2 linked regions of the Rattus norvegicus genome follow. The protein of the gene in region 1 purifies or fractionates together with the protein of each later gene. This does not show direct contact. Links are inferred from orthologs where the notes say so. Each region holds a gene or a part of one and is shown in the gene's direction. Other genes may lie near its edges.

What was found.
Region 2: the proteins of Tnrc6c (region 1) and Cnot10 purify together in Homo sapiens (co-immunoprecipitation; 3 studies listed by BioGRID and IntAct, with this or other methods). This does not show direct contact. The link is inferred for Rattus norvegicus from reciprocal best matches to the Homo sapiens genes TNRC6C and CNOT10.

Annotation. Positions count from the first base shown.
Region 1 is NC_086028.1:103,432,590-103,436,397, forward strand, and holds part of Tnrc6c (trinucleotide repeat containing adaptor 6C), read left to right. Parts: intron 1-483; coding exon 484-3,087; intron 3,088-3,109; exon of another isoform or gene 3,110-3,808. UniProt on the Homo sapiens protein: Plays a role in RNA-mediated gene silencing by micro-RNAs (miRNAs). Required for miRNA-dependent translational repression of complementary mRNAs by argonaute family proteins.
Region 2 is NC_086026.1:123,205,359-123,209,805, reverse strand, and holds the start of Cnot10 (CCR4-NOT transcription complex subunit 10), read left to right. Parts: upstream 1-1,638; 5' UTR 1,639-1,763; coding exon 1,764-1,785; intron 1,786-3,576; exon of another isoform or gene 3,577-4,447. UniProt on the Homo sapiens protein: Component of the CCR4-NOT complex which is one of the major cellular mRNA deadenylases and is linked to various cellular processes including bulk mRNA degradation, miRNA-mediated repression, translational repression during translational initiation and general transcription regulation.

The DNA of each region.
Region 1 (3,808 bases):
AGTGAATGCCGTCTCCAGAATCCCAGCAAGCCCACTAAAGAGTGAGCTCCTTTCTTGGTGGTGGGAGGGGCCAAGTGCAGTAACTCAACCTTCTCTAGAGAAGAAATGGTGTCCATGCCCCACACCATTAGATTCTTAAGAATTTCATGGAGGTAGATTTTTAGATGTTGGTTGCTGTCTCCTGCACACTCAGTCCTATCATCTTGATAACGTCAAGGAAACGTGGGATTTTAAGGGGGTGGGTTGGTTGGTTGTTATTGTTGTTGTTTGTTTTTGTAGTCCTAGGATGGAACCCAGGACCTTAGATGTGCTAGGCAAGTGCTCCACGTCCGAGCCACACCCACAGCCCCATAAGGCTTGGTCCGTGTTTTCTGATTTAGAATTGAGAATAGGAAATAAAAGGCTAGTTTTCTCCCCAAACGAGTTGCTTCATTGGCAGTGGGAGGAGAGTGTAACTTTGAGTTTTGTTTCTTGTTTTTCCAGATCTTGGTCACAGTGGATTGGCAGGTCACTATGAAAATTGTCACTGGGGACAGCATCCCTCTTACAGAAGTGAAGCAGACTGCAGCTGGGATAAAGTGATAATAGACAGGACTGACCAAGAGCTGTGGCCGTCCACCCCAGTAACAGAGACTGAATCTGCCTCAGAATGTCCTACCGACACTGACTCTGCCTCCAACTGTGGCTCCGAGAACAGTAGCATGGCTACAGGGAGCACCCAGAGCAGCTTCCCCGGCCACCCGAAGAAGACGAATGGCAGTCATGGCACCAATGGCACACTCGTCCAAAGCCCTTCTAACCCGAGTGCCCTTGGGGCAGGAGCAGCCAATGGGAATGGGGGCATGGCCAGAGTGTGGGGTGTAGCCACCGGCTCCAGCTCTGGCCTGGCTCACTGCTCTGTTGGTGGTGGAGATGGGAAAATGGACAACATGATTGGAGATGGGAGAAGTCAGAATTGCTGGGGTGCTTCCAACTCCAATGCGGGCATTAATCTCAGCCTCAATCCTAATGCCAACCCAGCTGCCTGGCCTGTACTTGGGCATGAAGGAACTGTGGCAACAGGCAACCCTTCCAGTATTTGCAGTCCAGTCAGTGCCATAGGTCAGAGTATGGGCAGCCAGAATGGGAACCCAGTGGGCACCCTGGGTGCCTGGGGAAACTTGCTGCCCCAAGAGAGCACAGAACCACAAACGTCCACTTCTCAGAATGTGTCTTTCAGCGTACAACCTCAGAACCTTAACACTGATGGACCAAATAACACTAACCCCTTGAATAACTCTTCACCAAACCCTATCAATGCAATGCAGACAAACGGACTGCCAAACTGGGGCATGGCTGTTGGTATGGGGGCCATCATCCCACCCCACCTGCAAGGCCTTCCTGGTGCTAACGGATCATCAGTCTCTCAAGGCAGTGGGAGTGGTGGGGAAGGAATGGGCAGTTCTGTGTGGGGACTGTCCCCTGGCAACCCTGCCACAGGAAGTACCAATTGTGGGTTCAGTCAGGGGAATGGAGGAGACACTGTGAACTCAGCATTAAGTGCTAAGCAGAATGGATCCAGCAGTGCTGCGCAGAAGGAGGGGAATGGAGGGAACGCCTGGGACTCGGGGCCTCCTGCAGGGCCTGGCATCCTGGCCTGGGGAAGGGGCAATGGCAACGGCATTGGGAATATCCATTCGGGAGCTTGGGGCCACCCCAGCCGAAGTTCTTCTAATGGTGTGAATGGGGAGTGGGCGAAGCCCCCAAACCAGCATTCCAGTAGTGACATCAATGGGAAAGGATCAACAGGGTGGGACAGTGCCAGTGCTGCCAGCCAGACCCCTGCCCTGCAGCCTGGCAGTGAACACATGAACTCATGGGCCAAAGCCACATCTTCTGGAACTACAGCAAGTGAAGGAAGCAGTGAGGGGTCCGGCAGTCACAATGAAGGAAGCACTGGGAGGGAAGGAGCAGGAGAGGGCCGGAGGCGAGACAAAGGGGTTCTAGACCAAGGGCACATCCAGTTGCCAAGGAATGATCTTGACCCAAGAGTTCTGTCTAATAGTGGTTGGGGACAGACTCCCGTAAAGCAAAACACTGCCTGGGAATTTGAAGAGTCCCCTAGGTCTGAAAGGAAAAATGACAATGGGACAGAGGCCTGGGGTAGTGTAGCTACTCAGCCTTCAAACTCAGGGGGGAAGACTGATGGGTCCATCATGAACAGTACAAATACCTCTTCAGTATCGGGGTGGGTCAGCTCGCCACCTGCCGCCGTGCCAGCAAACACAAGCTGGGGAGACAGCAACAACAAAGCGCCAAGTGGCCCAGGAGTTTGGGGGGACTCAATAAGCTCTACTGCTGTTAACAATGCTGCTGCCACCAAGAGTGGCCATGCTTGGAGTGGGACTGTAAACCAAGAGGACAAGTCACCCACCTGGGGTGAGCCTCAGAAACCCAAATCCCAAAACTGGGGCGATGGACAAAGAGCAAACCCAGCCTGGAGTGCAGGAGCAGGAGACTGGGCAGACTCACCATCTGTCCTTGGACATCTAGGGGATGGAAAGAAAAGTGGATCTGGATGGGATGCTGATGGTAGTAGGTCAGGGTCTGGTTGGAATGATGCCACGAGGTGTGGGACCAGTGGCTGGGCCAGTGGCACCAATGCTAAGGTGAATCCAGGTACAAACTGGGGGGAGTCTCTCAAGCCTGGTCCCCAGCAGAACTGGGCTCACAAGCCCCAAGACAACAATGTGAGTAACTGGGGGGGAGCTGCTTCTGTTAAGCAGACAGGGACGGGGTGGATTGGGGGGCCACTGCCAGTCAAGCAGAAGGACAGCAGTGAGGCGACTGGCTGGGAGGAGCCTTCCCCACCCTCCATCCGACGCAAAATGGAAGTTGATGATGGTACCTCAGCTTGGGGGGACCCAAGCACCTACAACAATAAAACTGTAAACATGTGGGACAGAAACAATCCAGTCATCCAGAGCAGTACCACAGCCCCTGCCACCCCCACGACCCCCACCTTGAGCAGCACCACACACCGGGCCGAGACGCCGCCTTCACACCAGGCTGGCACTCAGCTGAATCGGTCACCACTGCTCGGGCCAGGTATGCTGGGGTCCCTCTGGTCATACCATTGGTGTGTACTCCGTGTCTGTGTGAATTCTCCGACGGATACTCTTGTAGCAAATGACTAAATAGTGTAGCTGTTTTCCAGGGATAAGAAGTGCTGGGTGGCATGCTCCATGCTACCGGGCTCCAGCCAGTGTGGTCCTTCTCATGCTTCCAACAGCAACAGGCTAAGTGTTAATTTTGTTTCAAGTTTCCCTGTATAGTACTCTGCTTGTCTGGGTTCTGTCAGTTATGGAATCATTGGGCAATTGAAGTTCTTTTATAGGAGCAGCTCTAAAGCCTTTCTGCCATGTGGCTGTAATCAGGGCCTGCCTATCACCTGTTAGAGGTTTTGTGCATCTCCTTGGCTTTGCCCGGTTGATGGAGCTTTACTTGATCATAGTCACCATCTACAAGCACAAGCTCATTCTTCTGCCCTGCAGTATGCAGCTGGTCTGGGGCTGCCCTGTACCACGGTCCAGCCAGCCTCTGCATGAGTGCCCAGGAGTGGTGAGGGAAGAAGCACAGTCCTCCTCAGGGAAGCCTGGGGGCCTCACATTATTGTGTGTGCTTCTGCAAGATGTCTTCTTTACCAGGTAGAACAAGTGGTTCTCAGTCCTTAAGTTGCCTTGGTGTTTGATGAGATAGGCTCTCAGTCCCAGAGAATCTGATTGATGAATCTGCGCAAAGCTATTCACTGGTAGTTTTAAAGATCCGC
Region 2 (4,447 bases), on another chromosome or scaffold:
GGAGAGATGGCTCAGCGGTTAAGAGCACCCGACTGCTCTTCCAGAGGTCATGAGTTCAATTCCCAGCAACCACATGGTGGCTCACAACCATCTGTAAAGAGATCCGATGCCCTCTTCTGGTGTATCTGAAGACAGCTACAGTGTACTTATAATAAATAAATAAATAAATAAATAAATAAATAAATAAATAAATAAATCTTTAAAAAAAAATAAAAAAAAATAAAAATTTCCGAATCTTATGAGGAGTACCTGGTGTGATGGTTACTTTACAATTCAGTGCTGTTGCTGTTGTCATTTATATATGACGTTCCCCTCCCTCAAAAGCCTCTAAATAGGAGGCCAGGACCCCAGTCTTTGCGAGTGGTAATAGGATTCCACCAGTTTGGAACTATCCTTAGATTCACCCACTAGCAGAGTCGTAATTTGATGCATCATTAGGAAGCAATGGAAAATAAGGACATGGAGCCCAGTGGGAGTAAGAATCTCAGTGGAATGTGCCCTTGGAGGCTCTTTCTTCTTCCAGTTTCCTCTGCTTCTAGCCACCAGGAAGTCAACAACTTTACTCTATAACTTGTGCCCTGGCACAATGCACTGCTTCACCAAGGGCCCCAAAACAATGGAACCAAGTGACCCGGGACTGAAAATTCTGATACCTGAGGCAAAAATCCATTCTTCCTCACTTAAATTCTCCTTCAGGGTATTTATCACAGAAGCAAAAAGTCTAACACAAATGCCTCTGGTGTCTGTTTCCCTCCATGATCTGAACCTCTGTTATTATAAATACTGGTTATTCCCTAGAAGGGAAAGGAAGGATGGAGTACGTGCTTCTGGAACCCAAGGCTGAGGTCATTGAACAAAACCAGAACCAGTTCAGGGATAAATCCTTTGCTTTATCCAAAGACTGCAGCAAGGATACATAGAGAGACTCTGTCTCAAAAAATTAATCAAACAAAAATCTGTCAAGATATATGGCTGGAGATGCCTGGGTCGTTAAGGATGGGTATTGTTTTTGCAGAGTTCTTGAACATGAATCTAAACCATTGTGCTTAGTAATAGTGATGCACCAAGCTGATGTCTTAGATGTGACCTACATAAGTTAACTGTTGCAGGATTCGCAACCAGAGAAACCGGATGCATAATGCAGGAACTCTGAATTTTCCAACTTGGCTACAAATAACAAAATGGCTGAGACTTTTTTTTAAAAAAGGCTTTTATATGGGGGGGTGGCCTCTAATAACATCTCCCTCATCCTCATTGTTGTGGAAAATCGGTGAAATAGTACAGGCCATGTGAGATTAAGCGATTAGCGTATAGACATCAGGTGTGATACCCGTCATTTTGGTGAAATGCGGAACAAAATGCCCTTCCCCTTCCGTGTTTCACTCAGGACCTGCACTAATACACTTCCGGCTTTGCACAAGGACCCGCTTCCGGGGCCGCGGCTAGCCCTAATTCCCACGCCCAGCTGGCCTTCCAGCTGGCCCCGCCCCGGAAGTACTGTCTTCCTTGGGCGCTACAGAACGGAAGCCGTGGATGGCGGGGAAAACAGTCCTCCACTGGCGGATGTGTTGGTGCTGTTGCTAGACGACGAACAGTGAGTTCGTCACTTCCTCAGCCCGTGGCCCGCCCAGGACCGAACCAGAGGCGACCGAAGCCGGCTTGAGTTGAAGAGTTTTCCCCCGCCTACAGGACCCGCCACCAGCCCGGCGGCGGGAGTCAGGGCCACGCCACCTGCAGGGAAGAACTCGAGCCGAGGCGGGAAGATGGCTGCAGACAAGCCTGCAGGTGAGGCGCCCGCGCCGCGACCCAGGGGCTGACACACTGCGCGCGGAGATGGCAGGGCCCGCGTGGGGGACTCCAGGGCCACTTGACTTCACTCGTATATTTCTGCCCCTCACTCTTCTCAGCTGTCCCTACTGTGAGTCCTGTGGGTTTTCTACTGTGACCCGTCTCGATGCCACTGCAGACCATCCTTGCCTTGCTCTCCAAGATAATTCTGCCCCAGAAAGCTCAAATTTGTCACGCCGCTTTCCAGAGGCATCAGGGGAAGGTCTTCCCGAGCTTACACGGTTGCCGTAAGGTCCCCAGGCTCAGCCACTGAAAGTTCCCTCTGGTCAGCGTGTCCTGTGGAATCCTTCTGAAAACCGTTTAAATAGACGTGACGTTTAAGTGTGTCTTCTGCCTGCTGTCACTTAACCTTGTTCGCCATTTGATTTTTCTCTAGCTACTCAAGATTAACTTCTTTTTTTAAAAAAAAATCTTGGGGTTGGGGATTTAGCTCAGTGGTAGAGCGCTTGCCTAGCAAGCGGAAGGCCCTGGGTTCGGTCCCCAGCTCCGAAAAAAAGAAAAAAGAAAAAAAAAAAGAAAAGAAAAGAAAAAGAAAAAAATCTTAATTATGTGTGTGAGTACAGGTGCCTTCAGAGACCCGAAGAGGACGTTGTGTCTACAGGAGCTGGAGTTACACAGTTGTGGGCCACCACCTGTGGGTGCTGGGGACCTACTTTTGTCCTCTGCAAGAGCAGCAAGTGCTGTTAATGGCTAAGCCATCTTCTTTCCAGCTCCAAGATTAAGTTCTTAATCTCTAGGGTTTTCTGTGGTGCCCCCTCGGGAATTTTTCCCCTTGGGGAATTATAAATTTCTAGCCCACTCATTACCTGGAAAGTCTGCTTTATTTCTTTGAAGAAATTAATACTCTGTGCTAGCTGCCCTGGGAGTTTCCAGGGGCTTCGATTGTCTTCACTGCCTGTCCCTCTCACTGGGAATGCCACTGTGTCTGGGCTCTGACGATCTAGACTCGGGGTAAGACTGAGCATGTTTACCCATCAGGCTATCTCCCGGTCTCTCACTGCTCTTCATCTTTTTTCTAAATAGTCATCGTGTGTGCTGCTTTCCTCTCTATAGACTTTCCAAGATTGTCTCACTGGTTAGCCGCTGAGCCCTTACTCTTTAATATGGTTTACGAGCTTTCAAAATTGGGTCCTCTGTAGGAGCAGTAATCCTCCACCCCTGAGACATCTCTCCAGCAGCTGCTTGTTAATTTTCTTATTGTACATTGTCTGTCTGCCTGTCTGTCTATCAGAACACAATCCTTAATACACGTCTGGAGGTCAGAGACTACCTGTGGGAGTCAGTACTCTCCTACCAATTCTCTCCTTCCAAGAACTGAACTTGGGCTTGGTGCCTGAGAAGCCTTTTTGAGCCTCAGTGTCCCTTTGTGTACAGTAAGCATGCTGACAGTGTCTTTCTCCTAGAGCTAGTGAAGGCTCAAGTGACATCAGCTGTGGCTTGGTTTTGGTTGGTTTGTTTTTATACTTTTTCTTTTTTTTTTTTTTTTGGTTCTTTTTTTCGGAGCTGGGGATCAAACCCAGGGCCTTGCGCTTCTTAGGCAAGCGCTCTACCACTGAGCTAAATCCCCAACCCCGTTTTTATACTTTTTGAGACAAGGTCTCTCTAATAGCTTTGGCTGGCCTTTAAGATTTTCTATTCAGGGGGCTGGGGATTTAGCTCAGTGGTGGAGCGCTTACCTAGGAAGCGCAAGGCCCTGGGTTCGGTCCCCAGCTCCGAAAAAAAGAACCAAAAAAAAAAAAAAAGATTTTCTATTCAGACCAGCCTAACTTCAAATTCTCAGGAACCCATCTGCCTTTGCCTCCCAAGGGCTGGAATTTTAAAGGCATGCACCACCATGCCCAGCCTTTTGTAATTTTTGCTGTTGGTGGTAGTGGTGAGTTTGGGTTTTTGTTGTTGTTTTGTTTGTTTGTTTGCTGTTTTTCAAGACAAGGTTTCTCTTGAAGCCCTGGCTGTTAAAGAAACTCCCTCTGTAGACCAGGTAGCCTCAAACACAAGAAATCCACCTGCTGGGCTGGAGAGATGGCTCAGCAGTTAAGAGCACCCGACTGCTCTTCCAGAGGTCCTGAGTTCAATTCCCAGCAACCACATGGTGGCTCACAACCATCTGTAAGGAGATCCGATGCCCTCTTCTGGTGTATCTGAAGACAGCTACAGTGTACTTATATATAATAAATAAAATAAATCTTTAAAAAAAAAAAAAAAGAAAGAAAGAAAGAAATCCACCTGCTTCTGAGTTCACCTCAGAGGGCTGGGATCAAAGGAATGTGCTGAGGCAGCTGGAAACACCACCACCACCACCACCTGGCCTTTAAATGTCTGCTAAGGGCCTGTGAGATGGTTCAGTGGGTAAAGGTGTTTTCTTTCAAGCCTGACACCCAGAGTCCCATCCCCAGGACCCATGTAGTAGAGGAAAATACTGCCTTTTCCAAGCTGTGTCTGACATACACACTCAAGTAAATAGTAAGCGCCAGCCTGTGTCTCTTTACGGTGATGTTAAAGAGACAGAAGAGACATGTTAAGTTTATTTGGAAAGTGCCAGGGTCTGGGGAGTGAAGGAGAGATAGCAATAAGGGGAGACACGGTATGTTCTGTCCCTGCT